Linked DNA regions of Tamandua tetradactyla. The protein of the gene in region 3 interacts with the protein of the main gene of each other region in a biochemical or structural test. Links are inferred from orthologs where the notes say so. Each region holds a gene or a part of one and is shown on either strand. Other genes may lie near its edges.

The links.
Region 1: of the proteins of MAPK1 (region 3) and ESR1, one has a biochemical effect on the other in vitro, tested with the Homo sapiens proteins (3 studies listed by BioGRID, with this or other methods). The link is inferred for Tamandua tetradactyla from reciprocal best matches to the Homo sapiens genes MAPK1 and ESR1.
Region 2: of the proteins of MAPK1 (region 3) and GAB2, one has a biochemical effect on the other in vitro, tested with the Homo sapiens proteins (2 studies listed by BioGRID). The link is inferred for Tamandua tetradactyla from reciprocal best matches to the Homo sapiens genes MAPK1 and GAB2.
Region 4: of the proteins of MAPK1 (region 3) and MBP, one has a biochemical effect on the other in vitro, tested with the Homo sapiens proteins (16 studies listed by BioGRID and IntAct). The link is inferred for Tamandua tetradactyla from reciprocal best matches to the Homo sapiens genes MAPK1 and MBP.

The regions. Positions count from the first base shown.
Region 1 is NC_135328.1:143,353,382-143,361,163, forward strand, and holds the start of ESR1 (estrogen receptor), read left to right. Parts: upstream 1-4,780; 5' UTR 4,781-4,926; intron 4,927-7,782.
Region 2 is NC_135334.1:66,269,182-66,276,555, reverse strand, and holds the start of GAB2 (GRB2-associated-binding protein 2), read right to left. Parts: upstream 3,020-7,374; 5' UTR 2,947-3,019; coding exon 2,872-2,946; intron 1-2,871. UniProt on the Homo sapiens protein: Adapter protein which acts downstream of several membrane receptors including cytokine, antigen, hormone, cell matrix and growth factor receptors to regulate multiple signaling pathways.
Region 3 is NC_135331.1:26,071,244-26,078,183, forward strand, and holds the start of MAPK1 (mitogen-activated protein kinase 1), read left to right. Parts: upstream 1-3,933; 5' UTR 3,934-3,939; coding exon 3,940-4,058; intron 4,059-6,940. UniProt on the Homo sapiens protein: Serine/threonine kinase which acts as an essential component of the MAP kinase signal transduction pathway. MAPK1/ERK2 and MAPK3/ERK1 are the 2 MAPKs which play an important role in the MAPK/ERK cascade.
Region 4 is NC_135344.1:5,464,881-5,472,307, forward strand, and holds the start of MBP (myelin basic protein), read left to right. Parts: upstream 1-4,416; 5' UTR 4,417-4,604; intron 4,605-5,204; exon of another isoform or gene 5,205-5,304; intron 5,305-5,955; exon of another isoform or gene 5,956-6,521; intron 6,522-7,427. UniProt on the Homo sapiens protein: The classic group of MBP isoforms (isoform 4-isoform 14) are with PLP the most abundant protein components of the myelin membrane in the CNS. They have a role in both its formation and stabilization.

The DNA.
Region 1 (7,782 bases), on a different chromosome or scaffold from region 3:
AAGGTGTGATGATGCTTTTCTTTGAATTATATTTATCAGATTGTGTTTTCCCTGTTTATTTCAATTACATTGTATTATACTGCCTCATTTGAAGTGCTCTTTTCTTATTATTTATGCTTTCACAATAATTCAGTTTGTCTAATAGTGGTGAATATAATTTAACTAAAAATTTTAACCCAGAGGCAATTTTTTTCTCTAAGAAAGCACAGAATATTGTAGAACAGTGTTAATCTAAGTACATGTTTTTATTTTTAGTGATTTCATTAGATGGGAAAATTTAAAAATCGTTCCTAATCACCTTCTTACAGCAATCTGATGAGATTGCTCTTTCCTATTTACTGATAAACCTCTCAACTTTTCATCGCAGGACACACCCATAGCTTGTGTGTTCCCATAGTGTGTCCTGTGTGTAATTCTTGTGAGCTGGCTCTCTCTGATTCTGCAGGAATGTGTTCAAAGTACAGGTTCTTGAGTTGGACCACCTGAGTTTGAATCTTGGCTCCCACTATGAAGTCTTGCTAGGGATACTAAATCTTGATTTCCACCATTTTCTCTTCTATAAAATAGGCTTTGATAGTCCCTACCTGTGATGGCTAGGTTCTAGTGTCAACTTGGCCAGGTGATGGTGGTCGGTGGTCTGGTCAGGTAAGTGCTGGCCTAACTATTGCTGCAAGGATATTTCATGGCTGGTTGATAAACTGGAAGGCTGGTGTATTAAATCATCAGTCAGTTGATTGCATCTGTGGTTGATTACATCTGTGATCAACTAAGAGTGTGTCTCCAGCAAATGAGATAACTCAATCAGTTGGTTTTGATCCAATCTTTGAAGACTTTTAAGGAAGAAGAGAGAATTTTTCACTGCTTCTTCAGCCAGCAAGCCTCTCCTGTGGAGTTCATCTAGACCATTCCTCAGAGTTGCCAGCCTCACAGCCTGCCTTATTGATTTGAGGCTCTTCCATTTCCACGGTTGCATGACATACTTTTGTAAATCTTATATTTACAGGTCTGTTTTTCTGGAGAACCCTTACTAATACACTACCCCACTGGGTTGCTGTGAACATACTTAGCACCTGATACCTCATACTCAGTAGAAAATATTATCATTTTTACTTTAATTATTATAATTTTTAATTTTTTCCCACTTGAGAAAGCCCATATTAAAATGCAAATAAATGACAGTAGTCTCTTGAGAGCAATTAATCTAATTAAAATTTTATATTGTACATTTAAATTTTCCTATAAAAGGAAAACGATCTATAACCTTTAGTTCAGAACCCAATGGATGTCCTGTTATGGCAAGTGTTGCCCCATGATTTTCTTCTCTGTATTCATGTCTATAATCGATTTTTGCAGGTTGCTAAATGCCATTTGGAAAACAGAATTCATCCACTCTGAAAAATAAAATAGTTGAGAGATTTAATTCATGTACATAAAAGCATTTTGTTTTTGAAAAGTTTAAACTATCCAAATGTTTATTAAATAACTTACTTTCTACCAGAAATCATAATAAAATAATAAAAGCAAATACCCCCCAATAGTGCATTAGTATACATGACTATTCCTTTTGTTAGCACATCTTGTGGAAAGTTTATGTTTGTTAAATTAAAATTAAAACTTCTTATGTTAGCTAAAATCTTTCTTGCTGTAAGCATGCTGGGGGACATTAATCTCAGGTAAATTTGCATATTCAAATTATTGTGTGGGCTAACTCATAAGTTTAGAGAGGATTGCTTAAAGGTCCTTAAGATCATTTCTTTTTAAATGTTCTTAGGTGTTAGAGTATGTTAAACAGATAATCAGAAAGTATTGGCAAAGTCATTTGAGGGATGGGAGAAAGAATATGGAACTATTAAACCTTACCATTAGGGAATTTCCTGATACTGTGTCAAACTTTAAGGACACCCAAATCAATAGGCCATGCCCTCGATCATGAGGCTTACTCTTGTGAAGTATATGCAGATAGAATAGAAACTTAGACTACCTATAGGCAGGCCTAAGAATTACTTCTGGAGGACCTCTTTTCTTGCTCAGATGTGGCCTTAGTCACTCTAAGCCCAACTCCGCAAGTGAAATCATTGCCTTTTCCCCTACATGGGACATGACATCCAGGGTTGAAAGTCTCCCTGGCGACATGGGAGATGACCCCCAGGGTCATATGAATCCAGACCTGCCACCCTGGAATCAACAATTCCATCCTGACCAAAAGGGAGAAAAGAAGTGTAATTAATAAAGTATCAGTGGCAGGAAGAGTTCAAATAGAGTCAAGAGGCTTCTCTGGAGGTTGCTCTTATGCAAGCTTCAGGTAGACATTGCTACCTATCATAACTTGCCAACCGTCAACCAGGCCCATTCCAGCTAATCCTAAAGAACACCTAGGGCAATATGTAAGATTCCACAAGCATTCCAGGCACTGGAGTAACTTTCCAGAAACCTACAACCTCCAGATGGTTCTCTGGTCCAGATAAGTCCTGACACCTAGCCCAGCTTCTCCAGAACATCAGAACATCTCCCTATCCCATATTAGTGACAGACCCTTCCAACATCAAAAATTTAGAATTGCCATAGCCCAAACACCCCTAAAGAGAGAAATGGAAAGATCAAAGGTGATGGTGGAATTATTCAGAGAAGATAGGATTTAATAAATGAATATGAATGCTGAGTCATTAAATTGATATCTCTTTCAGTCTCCAGTATTTTAGAGCAGCTAGAAGTAGAAACCTGAAATTGTGAAATTGTAATTCATGTCAAAGTCTGAAATATGTTTTACAACTAATTGTGGTGCTGTGCTTTGAAATTTATAGCTTTTTTGTATATATGTTATTTTTCACAAAAAAAGGAAGGAAAAATGTCGATTGTGATGATAAAAAAATTTAAGCCCTCTGGCCTCCTATACTCTGGAGCAGCTAGAAGGAAAAATAGGAGAGGATCGTATTGTAGCCCATAACAAACTCTGGGATCTGTCCTGTAACTATTTGTTGAAGAGGGCTTTGAAAACTATTACTTTTTTCTTTCTTTGCTTTGTATATGTGTTATACTATACAATAAAAAAAAGTTAAAAATTTTAAAAAAAGGCCCTAAAAATGTTCTTAGGTGTTGATTATGAGAGTTTTGTTTTTCTTTTGTAACCAAGCCAGTTTCTTTTAAAAATGCAATTTTTTTGAGTGATATTCACATACCATATAATCAACGTGTATAATCAGTGGTTCACAATATCATCATATAGTACTGCATTCATCAAAAAAATCAATTTTGAACATTTGCATTACTCAAAAAAATACATATAAGAATAAAAATGAAAACAAAACAAAACAAAACACCCCAAACATCCCATACCTCTTATCTCCTCCTATTTTTATATATTTTTGGTCCTTTAATTTTTTGCTCATCTGTCCATGAATGGAGTGTCATCGCAAGGTTTTCACAATCACCCGGTCATACTGTAACAACTTTATAGTTATACAATCATCTTCAAGAATCAAGGCTACTGGAATACAGCTCAACAGTTTGAGGTGTTTATTTTACCTTTTCTAATCCACTAAAAACTAAAAAAGGCTAACTATATAATGCATAAAAATAACCTCCAGAAAGACCTGTTGACTCTATTTGAAGTCTTTCAGCCACTGAAACTTTATTTTATCTCATTTCTCTCTTCCCCTTTTTGGTCAAGAAGGCTTTCTCAATCCCATGATGCTAAGTCCCAGTTCATCTCAGGAGTCCTGTCCCACATTTCCAGGAAAATTTACACCCCTGGGAGTCATGTCCCATATAGAAAGGAGGGCAGTGAATATACTTTGCTGAGTTGGCTTCCAGAGAAAGACTAAGCCAGTTTTGAGACACACCTCACCCAACAGATGGCAAAAGATTTTCTTCCTTCACCTTCTCGTCCTACCATTCTCATGTTCGGAAGACCAAGTCTAATTGATTAGAAAAGCTAATATCTAAAAAGCAAAACTAAACAAAACAAAAACCTTAAAAATATACGCTATATAAATCAGAAGCAGATTTTCCACTTTTTTTTTCCTGCACAGGCAGGCACCGGGAATGGAACCCAGGTCTCTAGCATGGCAGGTGAGAACTCTGCCACTGAACCACCATCGCACCTCACTATTCTTTTTTTTTTTTTAGCCCATTTTCTACTTCAGACAATGTCTCAGTGTAAAAAAGAAAAAACCAAACAAGCAAAAAAACAATCAATCAACACTTAAATTGCTGTAGGAAATGCCTGAAAAGTTTAGGGTAAGATCATCTGACAGAGGGAAGGGCTTCAGAGGCACGGAAAAGCTAAACCTGTACAGGTTAGTGCAGTAAAAAACCTAATTAATCAACGACCAGGAAGGCAGAGCATGTTGAGGTATCCACGGCTAAGCAAGAAAGTTAAAGAAATGCTCACAGAATATGTGTCCTCATTTCCACTTTTAGCTGTAACTAATTTTGGATTAAGCATTTATGTGCTGAATGAATGCTGTATATATATTTTCCAACTAGACACTCCTGTTTAGACTTCAAACCTTATTATAAGTAAAGAGAAAACCGACTGGATTGCATAAAAATTTCAATCGACCAGATTGCATAAAAATTTTACAAGCAGATGAACACATCACTTATCTTTTGTTAAATATCGATCTTAAAGGAAGTGCTGCGAAAGTTCATCAGGCCTAGCTGGCTGAAACCAAGGCCACCCCCTCCTCTATTTTTTTTCAAGGAGATTTTCCAGTCCTAGTCAAATGGTGGTGCTAGTTCTTTATTTTTGAGTTGCTGCATTTCCTAATTTCATGATCATAACGGCCCCCTGTCTACTGCCTCAGAACGGATTTCTCCAAAACTGAAAATGCAGGCTCCAGGCTCAGAAGCTCCCTAACGGCTCCAAAGATTAACACTCCTTCCTCCTGTCCATTCAGTAACACGAGAAGACAGCCTTCTCTTCAAGTAGGTACTCCTCTTTCTTCTCAGTTTAATTTTTTTTTTTTTTGGTTTTTGCTATATATATGCTACTGTTTACAAGCACAGTGTAACTTTAGAGCTTACCTCTCACGTTAAAAGGCGTTCATTTTTCTCTAAATGCTCCAGGGATATTTTTCAAAGCCTTTGCAAAGCAAAACGTCCCTGTAGGCAAGTCTGACTACGGTGTTAAAACGTTAAATCTAAACTTGGTACAGTGGAAATTCACTTTTGGAATAATATTCAGCTGAGTCAGAGGGCAAGGCGAGTCCTCTCTTCAGTTCTGCGCTGATAGGCTGCCTGGCTGCCCCAGATAAAGTATGTTTATTGGACTCCTCTCACTGTAAGGTTCTCTATTGTTAGTGTGTCGGAATCTTACCAGTTCTCGATCTGATCACTGACTAGCGTGAACATACTCCCTGTTTTCTTCATCTTTGGTGCTATAACTCACACGAATTTGAATGCAGCAATCTGAACAAGCCACTATTTGTTTCCTGGAGGCAGTAAAGTTTTCTGAAGAGCTACACAATCTAGCAATACCAGGATGAGCTACCCTCTGTTTCAATGACCCTATGGTTTCAGACAAGTTATTTTGAGTCCTGCTGCCTCAGTTTTCTCTTCTGTGGAAAAGATAGGCTAGTTTTTGTTTTGTAGCAGGGTGGTGCGTGCATTAGTGGCTCCATCGCGAACGATGTGATAGTCAAAAAAGCTGGGACAAAATACTTTCATTTTGATTAGAGGAATGTCCCACGTTTCAGGAAGTATTTGTTAAGTTTTAGGTTTCACGTTTTGTCAGTAAGGTCACCAGATTTTGTTCTGTCAGACGTGCCCATAGAAGCTGACATGATTTTTTTAAAAATACTTAACGCTGGATAAAGGCCTGGGCATTATAGGACTTAGAATTGTGGCACTAATTTCTCTTCAAAGGTCCTAGATTTCTAATAGCTTTATGGGCCAGATTGAATAGACTTACAGAATAGCTCTAAGCAAAAGGTTGCTGGAAACTTCTCCTGTTTTGAATGTATATATGCATTGATGTACACAGATACATATATTAGTATTGAGAGTGAAGTTGTGTTTAAGAGGTGAAGGTATTTGAACTGAATAGAGAACTAAAAGAAATGAAGTTGGTTGGGAACTTCTGAAAATTCGAAGCCCAATTTCCACTCTAGAACATTCTTTTGTACTTCTTTAAACCAAACGTTCACCCCAATTGATAATATTATACGAAGACCATCCATTGGGCCTTAAAATGCATGGATATAAAATCCTAAGAGTTGCTGTATTTTCAAAGACATTGGGAACAATAAAGGATTTGGGTTTTGGAAACAGGCAGATTTAGAGAAGCTAGATTTTGAATATAAAGGTCAGGGTATTTCTTAGTGGGATATATTTCTTAGACACTTGGAGATATTTGTTTTGTTTCATTGCTTATGACAGGTAAGGGAGGTATAAAGCACATAGGTCATAAACCTGAAGCAGAAACAAAGTCAAACAACTTTCTTATTTCATTTAACTCTGCATCTTTCATTTAGTTTAGGATCTGGAGCTTGCTACCTCCTCCAAATCCTCACTCTAAGCCTTTATACAAAATAAATTTACAAAGTAAATTTACTTTGGGTGCCTGCGAAACATTTTTACATGGTTCTTGGTAGATATTTACCTGTATTATTTAACCTAGTTAACCAGTACAATTGCCAGAGCTGAAGGTCTGGGAGATGGAGTGTCAGTTTGCTTTGCATAGAGAAATCTCTACTCTGCGGTTACAGATTGGTTGGCAGGAAAAATAGGCAGGAAAGAGGGTGACCCAGCTCAGAGTAGGTCATCCACACTGTAAAACACTCATAGCACATTCTTTATCAATGGTAGTTGAGACAAGGTCCTGCCATTGGCCTCTCTGTCATTAGTCCCTGAGAGACACCCTTAAGGCAGTAATCTAAGGGTGGCTTTTGATGAAGTTGATGGTGATGATGGTGAGTCTGCCTTCTTGGCAATCTCTCAGTAGCCTACCCTAGGTCATTCCTTCTGGACCACAGCAGCAAAACCTTACACAACAGTGTGTTCTGTGGTTCTTTCTAAGGGATGTAAGTTTTTTATTTATCAAAGTCTGTGACTCAGAGGATGCAGAGGATTGCACTATCCATTCCTTCCCCACTCCCACTCCAAATATTTCTCTAAAAAGCTTATACTTCTGATCAGGTTTTCCACAGAAGATAACTTTTTAGTGAGGATTCCATTCATGAGTGACAACTTAGCTTCAGAGCCCAGCTGAATTGAATCCATGCCATAGGTCCCCAACATTTTTCTAGCTGTGTGATTCTGACACAGAAGTGTTTTTTCAGACAATAAGAGTAGCTACCAGGCATAATTATATGGAATAAATGAGATTAAACTACCTGTGAAATAATTCTTACAGTCTTCGATATGTGGAAGTTGCTTTTATTCCAGTTCTGGTTTAGGATGAGATATACAATAAACATGGGTTGCATGGATGAATGAGTGAAACTCATGGAAGATTTGCATTCATCTGGCAATAATGGGTAGCTGATCTAAAAAAAAAAAAAGAACAGTGAATTCAGATAACTGAGTATTCCATGGGGTTGAAATGCTGCTGCTTTTGTAATGGACATGAAGTGCTGGAACAGAAAGTATGCAAACCTCCAACAACCTTCCCTCCATTCTTCCTCTCCCTGTGATTATAAGGATAGTCATATCCCTTTGGCATGAGAAAAGCAGCAGAACAGCAAAAAGGCAAAGTTTTTGCTATGATGAGCACATTAAAAGCTTATTAGAGATGCTTCATATTCATTTTCATATCAAAGAAAGCATTCTGCTCCATTGTTC
Region 2 (7,374 bases), on a different chromosome or scaffold from region 3:
TTCTTTCTCCCTAATGAACCTGTGAAATAAACAGAAAACTGCAGTGCACTGTTTGTCAATAAGTAAGCTTTTTACTCAAGAAAATCCCATTTCAGTTATATGCATGTCTATATACACACACACATATATCACACACACATACTGGGAGACTAAGTACTCAATGGCAAAGGAAGATTTTTCAGTTTCTCCTGCCAGTCTCCCACTATAACCATTATCCTGATGCCCGCGGGCAATATTCACAATTTTCCTGAGGTCATTTTTTGCAATTTCTCTAGGGCACTCAGCAAATACCAGACATAACCTTTTACATTTAAATGAGATTAATAAAATAGAAAATATTGTGGGGGGAAATTGCTAAAACCTAATCCCCAATAACATCTGCCATAGCTTCTTCCAGGTTGATTTTTTCCCCTACACCTACCCCTCACTCCAAATTAAACCAGAAATGTTGCTTTTTAAAAAGTAAAAATTAAATAATTTTAATTTATTTCATAAACTGCTTTTTCCCTTAACTCATAAATTTGATATATTTTTATGAGAAAGATTTATCAGTCTACAAAATCACATGTATATTATAGTCACCACAAGCAGCAGCTGTTTTGGAGTTTATGTTAAGCAATTACTCTTTCCAAGTTTGCTTCTAATGAATTTGGACCTCTAATAAACAGAGGGAACTGGCAGAGTTCTAACTTAAAATGGGGTACAGAAATTCTCAACACCCAAAAAGAAAAGGAGATGTAAAGGCAAACTGCTCCACAGGAGTTTAGGGTTAGTCAGAGTGGCTCAGTTTAAACCAGGGGGAATGAATTTCCATAGTGGGAAAGGGTTCCACTCATACCAGTGAAATACACCATGCTATCGGCAGAAACTGCAAGGAAGATGGGAAACAGAGATGGAGATCAGGACTCTAGGGTGTTAAGTAGTTCAAAGGTGTGAAAAGTTTCTTAATCTAAAAGCCTCCAAACTTGGTTATTCTGAGCTAAATCTGCTCAGCAATAAAAATACCCAAGAAATGGGTCTGAAGAGAGTCTGAAGTAGCCACCAGTCAAATATGGATACAGTGTTAAATTGTTTGCAAATTGTTTCAAAACAAAGTTTCAAGGTTTTTTAGGATATTGTTCTAATTTGACAATTAAGGGTCACTTCTCTACTGCACACTATTTCACTGCATAGTATGAAACTTTTTTTTATTGGCAATTTTTAGAAGCTCTTTGAGGACCCAGATTTATATATATATATAAAAATATGCTAACAGGATATTTCTCCTCAACTTAATACAATCAACTTTCCTAATAAGCTGATACAACCCTGAAGATGAAAGAAGTCTCTTTCTTAGTCATTATAATACTTTAGCTACACAGACACCCCTGAAAATGAGATGAACAGTCATTCTCTCAACCCTATTGTACTTTAAATCTATGTCCACTTTCATAAATCATGTGTTGAATCCTCAGATTTTTTTTTCCCAGTAAATGATCTAAGAGCCTGATTTCATATTCTCTCTCTCCCCCACTCTCTTACACACACACACACCTGCACTCCCCAATAACAACACTTCCTTTGAAAAACAGAATGTCACTTCCTCAGTCCAGAGGCCAGAAGTCCCTTGATTCTGATCTGGGGAGCCAAGACAGGAAACTCTGGTAAGCTTCTGCCTCTCCCCCCATGGACAGCCACTGCTGCAGCTGACAGAAGGCAGGGTCTATTCAGAGCTCCCTTGATGCACTGCAGCTGGAAGACAAGCCCTCACTTCCAGACTATGGGAGCAATCCTAGAGCCCAGCACCAAAAATCAGTCGTAACAAGGGCATTTTGTAGGAAGTGAAGAGGGCGAAGATGGGAGACTTTGAGGCATTTTAGCGACCTTACTTCCATTTCCAAACTCCGGCCACAACTCCGGGGCTGATTTCTGCCAAAATTTGTAACGCACCGTTTTGTTCTTTGACCCACCAGGCATACATCCTCGGGTTAAAAAACAAAAAAACGTCCTATCTCCTCACAGCTCAGCACCAGGCTGTACCACATCCCCCTTGATATTGCCAGTTTCTCACGCAGAGGAGAGACGCTGTCCCAGCAATTTCAGTAAACACTGTGGGTTAGCACCACCTGGCAACTGAGAACCTTGATCTCTCCCGACCCCAGACACCAAGGTCTACACAATACAAAACCCAGGCTAGTTACAACGGACCAAACTGCAGTGTCACACTCGGGGGAGGGGTATGCATGTGAGAGACATACGGAGTAAAGGGAAAGAAGGGGAACAAACAAATGAGTCACTTAATACAAGGGCTGCACATGCCGCTGACGCTGCCCATGATGCAGAAGCTCTGGACTGGAAGGAAGCAGACGGCCACCCGGGAGGGGCGGGCAGAGAACGGGAAGAGGGAGAGGGTGTGAGGCGCGTCGCCCTTTGTGCGGGACAAGCCGCGCGGCCACACAGCTTACTCCCCCCTTTCCCACCCACTCCTCCGACCCTGCAGGGGGAGACCGCCCAGGGTTACTGTGCTTCCTAGCCCGGGGAATCAACTCTCTCGGTCTCCCCAAACAATCAATACAAACTTCAACGCTGTGTTTAGTTTACAAGGAGGCTGGCTGGGGAGGTGCCTCCGACGTGCCTGCCCAGCGCAGAGGGTGCCGCAGCCTCAACCAGCCGCCCCGCCCCTCGGCGGCGCACCTGTGACAGGTGTGCAGGTGCCCCACACACCCCGGCGCCGCGGGGCGCGGCGACCACTCCTCGACCCCCGCAGGCCCGGGGGAAGGTCCGCCGTCCCCATTGGCGCGGCCCCTACGGAAGCCCCCACCCCTCTGTAGGCCGCCGGGCGCCCCTAGCTCGCGCCCCCCGCGGCCGCTCCCGCTCGCCGCCTGCACTCACATAGCGCCTCAACTTCTTCTCGGGGGGCGATTTCCTCAGCCAGCCGGTGCACACCACGTCGCCGCCGCCGCTCATGCTGTCGGCGGACTGGAGCCCGCGCCGGGTCGGGCGGACAAGGGCGCCGGCCACTGGGTCAGTCGACCCGCGGTGCGCAGCTCGCGCGGGAGGGAGGGGCGGGGCCGCCAGGGGCCGCCGGGCGAGGACGAGGCGGCGCGGGCCCAGCCGTGAGTGCGCGCACCCGCTCGCCCCCGCCCCCGGCCCGGCCCCGCGCGCGCACTCGCTGCCGGCCGGGAGGGGGCGCCCGGCAGGAAGCGGCCAGCGCGCGCTCGCCACGCCCACAGCCCGCCGCGCGCTCCGCCTGCGGACAACGCCTCGCGGCTGCCGGAGGACCCGAGTCGGCGCTAACGTCCAAAGCTACCTTCGGCTGCGCTCCCGTCCTGGTTTTATTTATTATTGTTTTTCCTTTCCCCTCTGAAGTCTTTTCCAGAAAATCCGGAGGACTGGGGGAGACAGCCGCGCCCTGGAGGGGAGGTGTGAGGGGAGAGGAATCAGAGGGCTGTCGGTCGCGGATCAATTTTTCAAGGAGAGTTGACGGGGAAGGGACCCGAAGGCTGCTCACGTTTCCTGTCCATTCCCAGAGTTTCAGGTTTCAGCGGGTCAGGTTCTGGCTGAAATTAGTGATCCGCTTCGCAGCAAGAGTTTCATTAACTCTCACACTCCCTTGGCGGGAGGAAAAAAGGAAAACACACCTACGAAGTGCCGGATGATTGTCTTAACCTACAAATTGGTGGGCAGTAGTGTTCCTATTTTACAGATAGCCTAAGGTGTCAGCACTAGTACAATGCAAAGCAAGATTTCTAATTCCGAGGAGGTAGGGGTAGGTTTGTGCTTATCTGCTATTTAAAATGGGGGGACTGCTTTAAAGTCTATGAATCAACTTGGTCTTTGTCAGGAAACAAAGTCCAGCAAGCTCCCATACTGCCTCTGGGAAAGTGGCTCAGTAAAAGAACATCTGTATGACTTGAAAAGAACTGACGAAGCAAAAATTAGTCAGTGTATATCATGGCAAATTGGAAGACAGAAAAAAGAAAAATTGGGGCAAAATTCCTCAAGTTCCAACTCATTTATATAGGCTATGAGACCTCTTTGGGACTCATTTGTAAACTGGAATATAATGATACATCTCTCCATGAGCTGTGGTAAGGTTTAACTCAGATAAAGTATGTGAAAGTACACACTTGACAACACCAGCACTTCAGGGGTAGGGTGGAGAAAAACATGAAAATACTTTTGGTAGCTCTTTTTCATTCACAAAGTTCCTTAATAAGCAGCCTTAAGCGCCCCAAGTTGTCTTTCAAGTGGATAGTAACCCAATGGGTTACTGTACTGCCACACATGAACTGGAGAAGCAGCATCTCTTAAAAAAAACACCTTTCAGAAAGCACCTTTCTCTCCCAATCTTAGACTAAAGCTATTTTGTTCACTTCCCTGTCTCCAAGCAGCTAAGCTACTTATTTCAAGGAGCGTGACTTTCATCTTGGTTGAGTTAGACGTTCATCTACTGGGCGCTTAGCTTTTCCTGGCACCCTGGGAGATTTAGAGAGCTGCTCCCTTGACCCCAGTATTTCACTGACTTTCTTCACTGTCCAGTATGCTGTTGAATAGAGTTTAAAGCCAGCACTATAACAATAGCTGGAACCAGAGCTTCCTTAGCCTTTCAGTTCATAGATCCTTAAGCCACATGCAAAGGCCACCACCAGAATTACCTTAAAACTCTAGGAGAACTGAGAATAAAGGGTAACTAGGTCAGCAATTTTCATGTAACATTCTTTGAACCTATCTTAAAATACTATTTAAGTAAATGATCTAATTTCTACATAATTGTTTCACAGAAATGTCTTTTTTGTTTGTTTTTATAAGGTGTTTAAACAAGCTCAGCTAAATTCAGGATCCTGTAGCCACTTTGTGCATGAGGGAGCTTGAATTTAGTGGCTTTCAACATTATTTATGAAGAAAAAAAATAAAGTATCTCATATTGAACGTTATTGTACTGCATTTTTTAATGTAACAGTGCAGATCTTGTTAAACACATGAATCTGTATAATCATGTTAAATGCAAATAAACTGGTTCATGGGGAAAAAAAACCTATGACATAAATATCAAAACACTCAAAGTGCCAGATTGATCAGGAGGCGGTGACTCCCAACCAAAATAAAGTAATCTTACTGACTATTCACATCTGAGTCATGGTGCCAAGTCTCAGGGACTGCAAGGAGTCTGAGAAAACTTCAGGATTTGGCAGCAGCTGAGGTTTATGATGCAAGTCAGGCATCCATATGCCTTATCTTTCCCTAGAAGAGTCGTAAGTCTTCTATTACATACCTATTAATATTTATATGATTCATGACAGATGGGAGATTGCTCAGCAATGATTACTTGGGGGATAGGTCACATTCAGCCAAAACTCTTTAAGGTCTTAGAAGTCTTAGAAGACTTCAAGCTTTTATTTACAATTCCATATGAGAATTATGGCCAATGATGGGAGAGGCCTTAAAATACGAGTTACAGAGTATGGGCATATCAGGAAGTCTGCGAACACCACCCTCCTTCCCCAAAGGTTGGAGAAACACCACCCTCTCTTCCGTGCTCTTCTGTTCCCTCACTTCCCGAATTCTCTCTCTGCACCTTCCTCATCACTTGGCTGCCAGCGCCCAGTACAGGCTGCACTCAGAATGCTGGCTTCACCCTGTGTGTCTCAATCTTCGGAGCCCGGGATGCCTGTCAGGCCTGAAAACAGCTCTCGGACAAAACGTTCCTGTCTGGGCCTTTACTGAGTACTCCCCACCCGCTGCCTTTTTAAAAAATGTTCCCTGGTTTTCGCTAAGGAGAAAGGGAAAACAAATTACTTAAGTAATTTATTTACACGAAGACAGGCGCCACCTACCGGAACCAGTTGGGACGACATTTCCCCCACCCTCCCCGTCGCAACCGGTGCGGACATGCATCGCTAGTCTATAATTTAGGCAATTTCTATTAAAGACCATGGGGTAATTCCTGGGGGGTGGGGGTGGGGTGGATTAATGACCGGCTCCAAGGAGTGTTTTGGGTCATTAATTTCTTATTCTCATTACATTCCAAGGAAATTACAATCTTATGTGTGTGCATGGGGGTGGGGGGCAGGGAGGATCGTGGGGAGGGAGCAGTCACACCTGGGAGGGGAGCATGGGTACCAATTTTTGCCCTACCCCCCTCCACGCCCGGGTTCTAAAGGGTGCACTGTGGCTTTTAGTGTCGTCAGCGACAGCCTGCATCCGTGCCTGTCTGGGAGCTGAGAGTTTGTGGCCAGCGGCAGGTGCATGGCTGGTGGAACGCTCCCAGGAACGGGTTGGAAGGGCTGGAAGGAGAGCTGTCCTCAACTGCACACCAGGCTGGTGTGATTAATACCACCCACGCCAGGCCTGACGTCAGCGATTGGACTGGGGGTGGGGACGGTGTTTGTGTTGTAGCCCTTCTGTCTTTTCTCCCCTTCAGTTTAGTTGACAGGTTAATTTCAGAGCTGCACATTGCTTGCCAAGGTCAGTATGACCAGCTGAGTCACCTCAACAGAGGACTCCCAGGACACTGTTGTCTTTCAGGCATCTTGATATGTTTTGCCTCTTTAACCCCAAGTCACTTAGAGCCCAGTTGGTTCACTCCATCAAATTACCCTCTGATTTAAATCAACTCTTGGATCTGCTGGAACTGAGATCTGGAAGTGGGCTTGGGGTATGGTTGAAGACCTATTTGGATTTCCCTCTCTGTGGATGGCTGCTAACAATATGAGAGTTACACTACATCAGTGGGAGGCATTTTGGTAAAGTTTGTGCCATTTAGTTTCCCATTGTAGAGAATCAAAACCTATGCTAATTGCTTTGTGGCAGGTTTGCTCCTGGGACATTTCTGCTGCTACTGGTCAGCTTGGTAACATCGTGTTGCACTGAACCCACTGCAAAATCAGTTGTCCATGCTCTCCCAAGAGCAAAGACTGTTGAACGCTTTGCATGCTGGCCCCTTATTTTCTTCACAGAGAGAACTCCTATCTCAAATTATATCTTAAACCTGTCAATACTCCCTTTCCTAAAACTCACCCTGCTCATTCCCCAGCACAGTTGTTCATTTTCTTTGTATTCATACTGCACCTAGTAAAAATAAATATGATTATCACACTGTACTGCAAATATTTGTTTACTTGTCAAGGAACTGTGAGTTCCTGGAGGGTAAATCTCTCATATTTTTCCAAGGATATTTTAGGTTGGTGTCAGGCACACAATAGATACTCATTAAAGTTTTGTGTATGTGTGAGAATGAATGAACCAAAATGCTTGAAGGATGACAAGTCCAAGACATCCTTCAAGGGGCTGGGAACCTCTGAAACATCCAGTTCTCTCAGGTGCACCCATAGCAGAGAATTGTATCTGTGAGGATACTTACTATATGACTGGAGTGTTTAAATCTACAGGGAC
Region 3 (6,940 bases):
ATGTGCCTTCTCACTTGAGAAAGAAACCCTTAACTTCATCGGCCTTCTTGAACCAAGGAATCTGTCCCTGGATGCCCTAGATTGGACATTTCTATAGACTTGTTTTATTTGGGACATTTTCTTGGCCTTAGAACTGTAAACTAGCAACTCATTAAACCCCCCTTTTTAAAAGCCATTATGTTTCTGGTATATTGCATTCTGGCAGCTAGCAAACTAGAACAAGTAGCAAGGCTTAAGAAATATGAAAGAAATAGAATTTACAGGAATTTGTGATCAGTTGGATGGCTGGGATTGGAGAGGCAAGAATACTGCATGGGTGTGGGATGGGGGAAAAGTAGAACGAATTATAAAAAGTCATGCCTAAATTTCCAACTTGATTGTTTGGGTGGAGGGGAATGGAAACCACAGACCCAGGGGGAGAAACAGGTTGGGTGGTGTGCTGGTTTGAAAGGATTTATGTATCTTAGAAAAATCATGTTTTAGTCCTAATCCTATTTTAGTGTAAAGGCAGCCTTTTCTTCTAATCCCTATTTAGTACTGTATGTTTGAAATTGTAATTACATTATTGCCACAGAGATGTGACTCAATCAAGTGTGGGTATTAAGCTTGATTAGACGGATACGTGTCTCTACCCATTCTACCTGGATCTTAATTAGTTTACTGGATTCCTATAAAAGAGGAAGCACTTTAGAAAAAGCTGGAGAATGATGAAAGAATGACATAGCCACAAGAAGCAGCAGCCAGCGACCTTTGGAGATGAAGAAGGAAAACGCCTCCTGGGGAGCTTCATGAAACAAGAGGGCTGGAGAGAAAGCCAGCAGATACTTCCATGTTCTCCCTGTGCCCTTCCACTTGAGAGAGAAACCCTGAACTTCATTGGCCTTCTTGAATCAAGGTAACTTTCACTGAATACCTTAGATCGGACATTGCTATAGATTTGCTTTAATTAGAACACCAGATTGAATCAGGATTAAAACATGACTTTTCTAATGTACATAAATCCTTTCAAATCTGCACAGCAGCTAAAGTTACCATCTATCAATCTTGTTCTGTTTTCCTTTGGCATTCATTATTTACTGCAGAGGAAGAAGCTGGGGGAAAAAATACACCCAACATTTTTTAGCTTTTTAATAAATAACTTTTTATTTTCCGCTGATGGGATACTGTTAGTGTTTGCTCTTTCCCCCCTGGGATTTAAGAATGCTTCCAGCTTGTATCTTGGAGCCTGTTTGTTAATTTTTCTGGATCTCAGTGAACCCACTTAATTTTCCACCCTGCACCTCAGATCTTTTCAGACTCAAGTTTTTTTTTTTCAATTATATTGTTGATCCTACCTTCTAATTGATTAGCTGTCCTCTTTTGGGGGACACCTCTAGTTTCCATCTCCATGCTGTTCTCCAGCTCCATTATCTTCTCTTTTAAAGAATTCCCCAATACTCCATTCTGTGTTCTTAAAGATTTTCTCAAGTTTTCCTTTGATGTGCTTTTCTGCATTGTTAAGTCTGCTTTTTGCTGCTTTGACCACTGCTTTTAATCAATAACTAAAGAGCTATTGTGGTTTTAATTTTATGGTACCCTCCCTTTTACCTTGGCTTGTTCTTTAAGATATATAATGTCTCTCTTCACCCTGGAGTAGGCAGGTAGAAAGTTGGAGTACATATGCAAGAGGGACATGCAAGAAAAGAGGGGTGAGATGTGAGGCAAGCTGCTTTATTGCTTAGTTGACTTACTTCCCTTCCTTCCTTAGTTCATTTACTTACTGCCCCTTCCTTTTTCAGGTTTTTTTCTTCGAATCCTCCCATCTCTTCAGGGCTGTGCCTGGTGGCTGATCTGGGGGGTTGGCCACCTCCAGGTGTTTTGCAGGCCAGGCCCTCCTGACCTTGGCAATGCCTTCTTTCAATCAAGAATAAGAATTAAGTGTTTTCTAAAACTGGGTCTGCATGATGGACTGAATGCATTTCAAAGGAGTAATTTTTGGCTCTGGCACTTCATTGCTTTTCTTGTGTGCCACACAGTTAGTTCCGCAGGGTTAAAAAAATTGCTTATTAGTTTTTAAAGTTGACTAGTCTAGTTGATCTTTGTTGATGTCTGATATGCAGCTGGTGGCTTTAAAGACCACATGGCTGGGCAATCCGGATGCAGCCCTTACACCCTTCCAGAGATGGTCTGGGAAGAGGTACAGGGGCACCGCCCGGTCTCACTGGCTTAGCTTTTCCTGGCACCCACCTGCCACAGGAGTCCAGTTTTTACTTTTCAACCTCTAGTGTTTATAACTATTTTTGAACCTCCGTGGAGCTGTCTCATTTTCTTTAAGTCTTGAAGCGTTGCTTTTAGTATGTCCCTCTTGACCTTTCTATTTCATTGTTTATGTCCAAGTCTCTGTCCAGCTGTACCATTCTGAGTCTTGCGTCTTTCTCTAGTGTCTTAAACCACTACTCTCTAACCCCTTATTCTGCTTTATATTTTATCATAGTACTTACCTTAATATGAGTATTGTGTATATTTATCTATATGCTTCCTCCCTCTAGAATATAATCTCTAGGAAGGTTTATACAAGAGATTACAGGTGAATATATATATGAATCTACAGATATAGAGAAGATATATATTACTTTATATATATATATAGTATATTTAATCACCATCATATATGCTTCCTCTAAAATGTAATCTCTAGGAATACATATACTATATATATAATATTTATATATAGGTAGAATATAGGGTATATATTCGAGTATAAGTATAGGTATAGATTTATCTATAGCTATATATCTTTTTTCTTTTGTATGTTGTATAGTGGGGGGTCACATTTCATTATTTTTCCATGTGAGTATCCATTATTGTAGCACCATTTGTTGAATTTTTGTTTGTTTTTTGGGAAGTGCATAGATCAAGAATCGAACCTGGGTCTCCTCCATGGCAGTGAGAATTCTACCACTGAGCTACCCTTGCACACCCTATAGTTAGAGAATATATAAGTGTGTATATATATCTATATATAGGTATATATTAGCATATATATAGGTATAGGCATATATCTATATAGAGAGAATGTATAGGTATGTATCTATAGATAGGTATATATTAGCATATATACATATACATATAAATCTATAAATCTAAAGATATATATACAGATAATATATGGGTGTGTATATATATATATATATGAGTGTATATGTAGGCATGTACATATTAGAGAAAGATATGTACCTATATATCTCTCTATATAGGTACATATATATTAGAGGTGTGTATATATATCCATGCATACACATATATATATATAAATTTATTTATTTTCTTCTCAGAGCCGACCCCCGGGAAGATGGCAGGTGCTGAACCCCTATTTGCTGAAGGGCCTGTCTGCTTAGCGCACCGTCTCGGAACCCCCGGTTTTGGTGTCAGCCCCTCAGTACGGAGAAGTGTCCCTCGGTCGCGCCCGTCCGTCGCCGTCCTTGTCCGCGCGCAGCCCACGGTCACCCTCCCGCTCCGAGGCCCGCTGCGCGCCCTCGGCTTCCCGGGGGCCGCCTCCCGGCGCCCGTGACCGCGCCCCCCGGGCAGCGCCCCAGCGGCCGCCGCAGTGCCCCGCCCCGAGCGCGCCGCTTCCGCCGGCCCGCGCACGCCCCGCCCCCGAGCCGCGGCCAGCCAATGGGCGCGCACGCCACCCCGCCCCGCCCTGGCGTCCTGCTAGGCGCGCGCCCCTCCCTCCGCCCGCCGGCCCGCCCGTCAGTCAGGGAGGGAGGCACAGAGGCGGTGGGGCCGAGCTGCAGTCAGCAACCCTCAGCGGCGTCTTTCCTCCTCCTCCTCCTCGTCCTCCTCCGCGGCCCACGGCGGTGGCCCGGCGGCGGCGCGTTTCCCACCCTTCCCCGGGAGCCGAGCGGCGGCCGCGGAGCGCCTCGAGCCCTGCGCGGCGGCGGCGGCCCGGCAGCCAACATGGCGGCGGCGGCGGCAGCGGGCGCGGGCCCCGAGATGGTCCGCGGGCAGGTGTTCGACGTGGGGCCGCGCTACACCAACCTCTCGTACATCGGCGAGGGGGCCTACGGCATGGTGTGGTGAGTGTCGACCCCACCCGCACGCCCGCCGGGCCTGGGGGGCGCCTCGATCTCCCGCGCCGCCGCGACCCCGACCCCGACCCCGGCGTGGGGGTGGGGCTGCGCTGGGGGTTGGGGCTTGCCCGCGGGGCTCCTCCCGGGCCGGGCAGCGCGCGTCGCGGCAGGGGGCGGGGGTCCGCGGACGGAACGGCAGCCCCCCTCCCCGTGTTGGCTGACCTCGGGGTCTTCATTTGGAAATCCATTTGGAAAAGCGGGAATCCCTTTAGAGGCGCGGCGGCGGCGGCGGCCTCTCTGGTGTGCAGAGCACCGAAATAGTCCCGTTTCCTACGCCGGCCTCCCCGCCTCGGTTTCCCCCGGAACGGCTCTCGTTCGGCTTCGTCGGTGGGGCGGGCGGTGCTACCCCGCGCAGGCTTTCCGAAAAGCACGAGGGACCCCCGGGTCGCTGGGGGAGTCTTTCCATGTTGGAGTTTTCGGATGTAACGTCGCGCTGTTTGCATTTTCAGGAAGGATCATCCAGCGGGGCTCCCATTGATTTATTAAAAGATCCGTTTGGAGTGGGTCCTAATTTGACTCCCCCCCCCCCCCTTTACCCTAAAGACTCTCTTTTAGCAGCACAAAAATGCCTCTGGACGTCTTGACAATTACTGTAGACTTTGTTCATGTTTTAGCGCTCAGTGCGGGCAGCCTTGGTGGAGTTCTTGCACCATCACAACATGCTCCCTTATCCCGACTCATGTTCCTCAGAAATGTGTGGAAGGAGAGGCTGACGGTGTGTGTGTGTGTGTGTGTGTGTGTGTGTATGTATGAGGACGAAGGGGCTGGTGAGGATTTGTGGAAGTGTAGATTTCCTTACACCTACATCTTCTGTGAGTATGTTTTCTCTGGAATGAAGGAAGCAAAGTAACATTGAAGAATTCTTAGCAGGTACTGTGCTAAGTCTGCATGATCTCATTTGGTTTGAACAACCAACTTCTTCTACATTGGGGCGAGGAAGGGTGGTGGTATATATACCTCCTGCAGGTGAGAAAGTGCTTGGACCTCAGATTCAGATCAAGGTCTGATTTTAAGTGCTGCAGCTCTTTCTGTTACATGCTGCTTTCCTTAAATAAGGGGTTCTTAATGATTTAAGAATGTTAGCGTGTCCCAGCAACGCATTCACATTTGAATGGACATAATTTTTAAAAAAGAGGGCGCGTTTATACTAACTTCGCTAGATGAACCAACCAGGTAAAATTATTTTTTAAAAAATTTTAATGAATCTTGAATACTGTCTTTCTCTGTAGGGGCAAAATGCTCCACAGTATACAACTGTGAAAATTAACATGCATTCACAGGTTTAGGAGCTAAAAGAGAAAATAGATCAGACCTAAAAGAGATAGGACCCTAAGAAAATAATGGACAGAAAGCATTGACTGCAGCATCACTTCTGTTGGTGCCACTGCATCTGCTGGTAAGTATGTCAATGAGCGTTTCTCTTTAGGTGAATCTCAGAATTGTCCTTCCTGTTCTTTGGTCCTTCTTTTGAAAATTAAGTTTTCTAAAATGAGAACTGAAAAAATCCTAAGACATTTCTATTGAAATTTTTTTTGTTTTTTATCTGATGAGATTTTTTACTTAGAGAAGATGATCTCTATTTATTAACCATTTCTATCACTGCTGTAGACTTCTTTGATTTTCTGAGTTTCCTGGTGAAATACTTAAAGTTTTCTTCCTGTGATTTTTTCCTTACTAAGTAAAATCCAAGCAGAAATGAATTGGATCCAGAGGCCTTTTTGTCTTAGGTTGATATTGTATTCTAATAAGAACTTAATCTTCTACAGAATGGGGTTTGAGTTGGGCCTTTAAGAATGTGTATGACTTTGATAGGGAGATAAAAGGAGCAAGTGACAGCTTGAGCTGTAGAATCTAGTCCTGGAAAAGTACTAAGGAGGCTAATTGTAGAGAACTCTTAAGGCAAAGCTGAGTTTCACTGTGTGTTTGCGTAATGGGGGGGGGTCATCGCCATTTTGTAGGAGGCTGTCATTTCATCAATTTTTATTTTTAAGATAGATAAACGCCCTTAAGAAGTGAAAGAAGAAGGAACTGGAATGGAGGGAATTAGTTGGGCTATTGTAACCTAGAGGCATAGTAATACGGTAGCAGTGGAAGGCATTGAGCAGAGGTTAGTTAGCTTGCCAAAGGGCAGATGGAAGTGTGAGGCCTGCAGAGATAGGATCAATAACTAGGGCTCTCATCATAGGAGTGGCAGAAAGAATTAATGGTGGCATGTAGGGGTAGGAACAAAAAAATGATGAGGCCACCATAAGGGGTAAGAGAGGTAGGTTCTGGATTTGAGAGGGGTTTCTGAGATAGATAGAGCTAGGGCTTGGTGATGGATTGTGTGGGCAGTTGTTAATTTCAGGGCTTCTAGCTTGTGAACTTGGAAGGATGGTGGTTCCATTATCTGAGGGAAGGAATATGGGAGGCAGAGCAAATTTAACTGGAAGAAATAGGGGGTTCTGGTGTGGACCGATGAAGTTTATAGTGCCCATGGGCCATTCAGGCTGTATCCAGATGGTATCTTGGAATTTATAAGAGGGAAGTTGGCGCTGAAAACAGAAATTCGTGTAAATGGTAGTTGAAGATTTTTCATGTGTTTGTTTTCTTAAGTTTTCAAAACTTAAAAATTATCCACCAAGCAACAACTCTCCCTCCCCCCCCCATTTCGTAATCCACTGTCTATAAGTTTTGCTATTTCTGGATATTTTGTGTAAGTGAAATCATAAGGTAGTTGCCCTCATTCATGTGCTTTGCTTTCACTCAGCATAATCTTTTCAAGGTTCATCCATGTTGTGGCGTGTCTCAGAACTTCATTCCTTTTTATGACCAAATAGTAGTTCATT
Region 4 (7,427 bases), on a different chromosome or scaffold from region 3:
CATGCAGCTTGCTCCATGGCTTCCTCTGGTCATGAGAGCCCTTGGCCTGGGACTTTTAATCGGGGTGTCCCCCTCCTGCCGCAGGTGCGGCCCCTTCTGCTCACTTCCTCCGGAGCATCTCATTGTCTTTCCCCGATGGCGTCACTGGAGTTAGCACTTGGCCCAGAGCTGGCCTTCTCTGCCTCCCCAGCGCCCACTCAATGCCGCTGCCCACTGCCTGGGGCAGGGGGGCTCCAGCTTCTCCCATGGGGTGCCCACCGCCGCCTGCTGGCCACGCACTCACTGCACCATCTTGGCATGTGCTGTGACCCTGGGACTTCTGCTCCTGCCCCATGAGATGGAGACAGGAAAAGGCTTACTGCCTCGCTGGCCGGGGAGATGCAGTAATGAGCGGTATAGGGCAGGCAGGCACACAGCAACTTCCTTCTGACTCCTCTATTCTCATCGTGGGCACTGTGGGGACTGCACCTCTGGCCCCTGCCTCCTCTCCCAAGCACCTGCAGCTCTCCTTGGCTGCCTTCACACATGCTGCCCCTTGGGCCAGTTAGCCCAGCCCTGACCCTTTCTCATCTGGAGAACTCCTATTCATCCATCTAAACCCCCACTTGCAGGTCAGCTTCCCTAGGCTTCTGGCCTCACCACTTCCATCTGTGTCCCCGGGCCTCCAGAGCTCACCCTCTTGACACCCTGTCATGCTCACTGCCCCCTTGTTTTGTCCACACCAGAGGTTTTAGTTCCTTGAAGGACACGTCTCATTTAAGGGCTTAAAAATATCTGTGGAATAAATGAACGAGTGAATGAAAGTAAAGTGTTTGGTAAGTAAAACTGTCAGTTAAATAAAACAATCTCTTTTCTGGAGGCAGAATTCATCTTTATAAGAAGTAGAGGGAACAGGGGGTGGGGACAGAATTTTGCCCTCAAGGCTCCTGTCTCCACCATCCCCTCCGCAGTCTTGTCACCCATATTGGGCAGCTGGGCAGGCTGGGAGCGAGTGTCCCCACTGGGCTGTCAACGAATGCATGGCTGCGGGTCTGTGGGTCTTCGGGGCTGCGGGGTCTTCCTCGAGGGATGGTGGGGGGGGGAGCCAAAAGCAATCAGTCCAAAAGGTGAAGGCCAGGGGTCAGGGGCAGCCACAAGCTTCACCCAGGCTGGGGGCAGCACCCGAGAGCAGGCCCAGCACATCCCACAAGGTAAGAAGAGCTGGGGACCTGGAGACGATGTGGCCTTTTGGAAAATGCAAACTGCCAAACCAACTCCTCTTCTTAAAGGAGCGGCAAAGCAGCCCAAAGAATGTAAGAGGTTTACTGGAAAGCAGCCCATACATAATCAGGGAGCAAACTGGAAAATAAAGAAACTCTAAAAGAAATATATATCTGAGATGGTTGAAAGGGAAAATGTTAGGTTGTACAGAAGGCAGCAGAATAAACAATTTTTAAGAATCCATGGAACTGCACAGCACAAATGGTGGCCCCTAAGTTAAATTGTGGGCTGTAGCTAATATTATAGTTATAAAAATGTGCTGCCATCAATTGTGACAAATGTCCTAATCCAATTCAAGGTGTTAATAATGTGGTGGTGTATGGGAATCCTGTATTTATGCATGAGTGTTCAGTAAATCCATAGCATCTTTAATTAAAAAAAATTATTTAAAAGCAATTCAAGGTGGTACGGTGGTGGTACCTGCCATTTCGGAGGCCCGGGTTCGATTCCCGGTGACTGCCCTTGCAAAAAAAAAATAACAATAATAATAAAATAAAAGCAATTCAAATAGCAGAGTTAACCACAGTTAACTGACGGGGATAACTAACTACCACAGTGTGTTTACTAGTGAGCATATGTACAGTTTCTTTTCAAATACACAATATATAATATATACCCCTGTAGTTCATTAAAAGAGTGATCCTGATCACTACAGAGAGCTGCTGGCTTTTATTTTCATTAATGAAGTTATGGGACTATGGTTAAAGAAAAATATTATACATATAGGGGTACACACACGCACATATACACTTTGTAAAACAGTTTATAAAAATATCATTTCAACAATCTCCTTCCCACGTCACAGGCCCTACAAACCCCCTTTCCTTTCCTCCCCCCACCCCGGAGTTCCCGTGTCAGCGAGGAGCGAGCGGGTTTCTGGGCGCACACGTGCTCAGTCGAGCGCACTGAGCCCCGACCACGGCTTCACATCCCTGTCTCCTCACCTAGGGGTCACTCACCTTGTCTTCCTGAATTCAGTGACCGTGTCGGGACTTTCTAGTTGTTACCTGGACCCTCTGGAGAAGCAATCGCCGTGACCCTGTCCAATGCGTTGTCACCAGCGCACTGTCACACACAAGCCGGGGGTGGAAGTGAGCCCAGTCCTTTCCCAGATGGAGGAGAATAAGGAGAGCTCAAAGCACATGTGCTCTGAAGTCGCTAGAAGCTCCTCAGGTTGCTTGACCTGCCGCTTCAGCCCGGACTCCGCGCGTGGATGTGGTCAGGTCGCGGCCCCTGGTTATGTGACCTGGGGAGGGACTACACTGTTTCCCTAGAAATGTCTGCAACGCGAGACTCAGATAATTTACCCTTTACTTCTCCCAACAAGAGTCCTTCCAATTTTATTCAGCATGAGGAAAAGATCACATTTTGTCAAATGAACCTCAGTCATTTTGCTAAAAAACGCGCTGTCATTGTATATAAAGCTCGACTCTCCCTGGGGCCTCTCTGGGCGCCCTGGACCCAGGTCCTTTTCCAAGGCGAGGAGAAGCTTCTAAACCCAACCTCCTCATGCCCACACAGAGCCTTCAACGCTCTCTTCGTAGGATCCGTGTGGGCCGGCAAAGGGCGATGGTGCAGTTTATAAACATTCTGAAAAGAGTTTTAACTGGCAGGGTTGGAAGGCCTGAAACTCACAGAGGTGACTGCTGGCTGGTGTCCTATTTCTTTAAACCACTGAAAAATTAGCAGAAGTGGCATAAAGAGGAAGGACACCGGTTGCCACTTGACTACAGCTGGCACCACGGGCCAAAGCCCAGCTCCCTGGGCTCGCAGGGCACGAGTCTCTGTTGCTTTCTTCTGAGTCACTGTGAGACGACCAGAGACACATTTCGGGGGGAGGGAGAAACTGTCTGCAATGTCCAAGCAGACGTCCCAGCTACAGCCCAGTGTTCCCATCCCCAGGCCTAAGAAGTTTGGGGGGAGTGACTGGAGTTGGGTTATGTCACTGGCCCTGGCACCCCCGGCCCGTGTCCCTCAGGCCCACCCCACTTACCAGGTACTGAAGAGCTGGTAGCAGAGGCCCAAAAGCTGGTGTCCTCCTCACCTCCCGCCTCCAGCCTGAGCACCTTCAGCTCCTCTCGGGAAAGGATCACGTGCGATGCTTTCTATCACTCTGGAGAGGTCACACACACTCGCTAATTCTGATGCAGTCAGCATTTGGACGTGGCAGACCTGCGGGGACCCTGTGTGTGGGGGGGGGTCAGGCTTGGGCAGGGTGTTCCTGAGACCCCGAAAGAGATTGCTGGGGCCACAACTGAGAGGGCCTCCTGACAGCGCCAGGTGCATTTCCCTGGCCAGGGAAGGGAAGCGGGAGCCGGGTAAGCGCCTCCCCTAGTGCCCGGCCTCCCCCATCTCCTGTCTTTCCCACCCACCTGCGGCAAGAGACCAAGAATTCAGGGGAGGTGTCCAGGGGAAGGCTCACAGAGCCCACCAGGGTTTCCCTCCAGATCTCTGAGTCCAGTTGGCTCACGTTCAAACGGCAGGCTTCCTTTTAACCAGGGCAGGACAGACACCACCTACCAAAAGGAAGCATGGGGACTTCGGGGTCAGCCAGCCCTTTCTGCTCCAGAAGAAGGTGGGTCCCCCGGTGTATGTTCTTTGCCCCCTTTGGGAAAACTCTGGTTCTCCAGCAGAACTGCCGGTGGGTGAAGGTTCAACCCAGGAACAACCTGCCTCTAGAGGGGCAACTGCAAGGCCCGGGTTTGATACCGACAGCACCCCCAGAGCAGTGGGTGTTCCCAGAGGGTCAGTGGGAGAACGGCCTGGAGCGCCAGGTCCGGACAGGGCCGGGCTCTGCCCAGCAGGTTCCCGGCGGGCACCCCAGGTGCGAGCTGCGGATCCGGACGGTGGGGGCGTGCTTGTCCCCACGGTGGCCGAGCCGGGAGAGGGGGAGACGCTCTCTGAGACTCCTCCTCGGGGAGGTAGGGGCCGGGGCTCGATTCGGAGGGTAGGCTCCAAGGCTGGGGTCCACCGGCAAAGCTGCCCTCCCACCCCTCCCAGGGCTGACCCTTGTGTGCTCACAGGGTCACTTTGGCCCGCGCGCCTGGGGCGGGAAGAGGGGCGGCCCGGGGGGCGGCGGCCTTTACCTGCCGCCAGGAAGCGGCGCGGGGGCGGGGCGGGGCGACCGGGTGCGCGCCGGGCCCGCGGAGAGCGCTGTCAGTCACCCCGCCGCGCGCCAGCGAGGACGAGCCTACGGCCCTGGCGGCCCGCGTCTCCCAACTAAAGCAGGCGGCTGAGGCGGCGGCGACTCCCAGACCAGCCCGCCTGGGGGCCCGCGGACCTGGAGGAGGCAGCCGCCAGCCCCCGCGCGGCCCCTCGGCCTCGGAGCCGCGAGCGCAGCGCGGGTGAGTGACCCTCGCCGGGGTCGGGCGGGGTGGCCGGGGGCCCTTTTGTCTCCCGAGCCCTTCTCGGAGCGCGAGGTGCGGGGAACCGGGTGACCTCGGGGACCAGCGTGAGGGAACCCCGAGCCTAGCTCCTCTGGGGCGTGTGGGCAGGGTTGGCCCGTGTCAGCCGAGGGCGGCTGCCCCGCGGTCAGGGGGCTCGGGGCACAGTCGGGCAGCGGCGCAGGTGGCCGGGCCGCGCGGGCGGGACGGGAGCAGTTGGCAGCCCCACGGCCTCCCGAGCCCGCCCCCTCCCACCCCTCACCACCCACCCCCATCCGAGTCTTCCCTGCGAGGAACTAGGGCACGGGTGTAGACGCCGCAGAAGGGGCCGAAGCCCTGACAGAGTCCGCGGTGGCGTCCGGACCACGTCCGCCGTCTTGGGGTGGCGGGGACCCCGCGAGGCCTAAGCGGGGAGCGGGCGGCGGCGGCGCGCGGGGAGGAGTCTCGGTTTGGGGCGGGGGGAGGTGACAACGGTCTCCAGGCCGCGCTCAGCCCGCGGCCACCGGGCTGCGTGGGGCAGGCAGGAGGGCCGCCTGCCTTTGGCGCTTTGGAATGGCTCACCTGGCCGGGCCCCGCGCCCTCCCGAGAGCCGAGCACGGTCTCCCTGCGAGCAGCGAGCGCGGCGACCAGCGACTTGGCCCTGCGCTTCCGCCTCCGCCCGCCGGTCTCAGCCCCTGCGTCCCGCCCCGCCACCTGCAACCTACGGGCGGCCCATGCGCCCCGCCCAGGGCCCCCGCCCGCCCCCTGCCTCCTGCCGCCCACCTGCCGCCCACCTCCCGCCCGACCCTGCGTCGCTGCCCTCACCTCCCGGACAGGGCCGCCCCTCTGCTGCCTATGCCGGTGCTCACGGGCGCCTGAAGTTGTCTCTCTGGGACACGGGTGGCACCAGGCCCTCTGGGCTTCTCTGACTCGGCCTGCTCCAGCCCTCTGCCCCGGAGGCCGAGTGGGAGTGGAAACGTGTTTCTTTGGGGCCGGGAAGGGTCTCACTTAGACTCTGGAACTCCTGGGGCCTGCTCTCCGTTTTCCAAGGGCCACCGTGGGAGAAGCAGCATGTGCTCCGTTTATCTTTGAGTTTGTGGAGGGGGAAAGCCGGGTGACACTGGGTAGGGACAGGACAGTCCCCAAGGAGCAGAGGGACCCTTGTGGAGGGCCTGGGAGGAGCTGGGCTGCCACAGCACCCCACCCAGCCTGGCAGGCGAGCTCCCACCAGCCAAGGAGGAACTGCAGGGGGGTTAAGTAAGATAAAAATAGTCTTTTATCTATAAAAAATCAAGTTAAAATTTATTGTTCAATAATGGTTAATTCCCAAGGAATTAACTGTTCTGAAATGGCTATTTTTATTAACTTGTTTAAAAGAAATACAATTTGGTTCAAATCTATTTGGAAAATCTTTCTAAAGTACTACATTTCTGTCTGCCCTAAGATAAGAAAATCAAAGATAAGTTCCTTGTCTTACAAGTTGGTATTTACTTGCTCTGTCATGATTTTGAACCTGGGCTTCTGCTTCCTGGTCAAATGTTGGCGCTCACTATCTGCGCAATCAAAGGAATTCAGTAAAAGCTGAAAAAGAATTGAGATCAACCTTTCTGGGGCTTTTCCTATTTCTGACATTTTAAATGTTAACTGAAGGTCATTTTGTTTGCTCTTTAGCGAGTCTCCGAATTCTTTAAAAGTTTAGCACGTTTCAGGTTTTGCCGCCGCCCCTCTGCCCGATCTGTGTCCGCATGGCACTGGCAGGGCCCTGCGCCCTCTGCATCACTTTATTCAATAGTCCTGGCTGCGCTGTGACATCCTCACTTGTTGTGACAGTTACCCTTTTAAGATCCTCTTGTTTTTACACAGGGGGATACTGAGGCACAGAGATGGTGATTACCTTACCTACAAGACACAGGATCAGTTAGAAGCAGAGCAGAATTCCAGGGCGGGGGGAGTTGTGTCCAGCCACCCCGCTGCCGCCTCTGCCGTGGGGGAGGACCTACCCCCCACCCCACCCCCGTCCCCTCTGTTTCTCTTTCTCATTTAAATGCCACCGTTAATGAGTGGCCCTGCCCGATAAAAGCGTCTCCTTCCAGATGACTGGACCCGAAAGGCCCTGTCCCCTGTCTGAGTCCCTCATCCTCTCCTTAGTGTCCTTCCTTGTCAATAAAGAACAAAAGAAAGTATTCCCCTTACTCTCCGTATAATTTTTAATTAACAGCCAGGAAGCAGTACTTAAGGGAGCTTAACTCAGGCCTGGTGCCAGCGGCCCCAGCCGCTGTTTAATGGAGCAAAAAAGCACCTGGGAAACACTGCTGAGGTCGGCATCAGTCAGGGACCCCCAGAGAGGCAGAGCCTGTAGGGGCTGGAGGTGAAGGACTGTGGTGCCAGGGGTGGGCTTTGCCTCAGTGGGGAAAGGCGGGCGGGCAGGGCAGCCCGGCTGCACGTGCTGTCCGCAAGCAGAATTTCCCTCTGGTTGTAACACATGACAACTGGCAGCGATGTGGCAAGCCTACCAGGAGCGGCTCAGAGCAGCAATTGTTAGCATTCAAACATAACAATTAGTTATGTTGATTCTCAAATCGTGGTCTACGCAGTTAGCACTGAGTAGGCCTGTAAGTGACGGGATGAAAACTAGATGGGTGCCAGGAAAATAAGGCTGAACAGACGCATGGTGAGGATATGGAATATATCCAAAAAAATCTTAAAAATCAACAGTGTTAAACAAGTGACCCCAAAGAAAGATGTGCTGGTGAACAGACTGGTCTAGAAGGGAAAGCTCAGTGGGCTAGTCAACGGGGGAAAGTC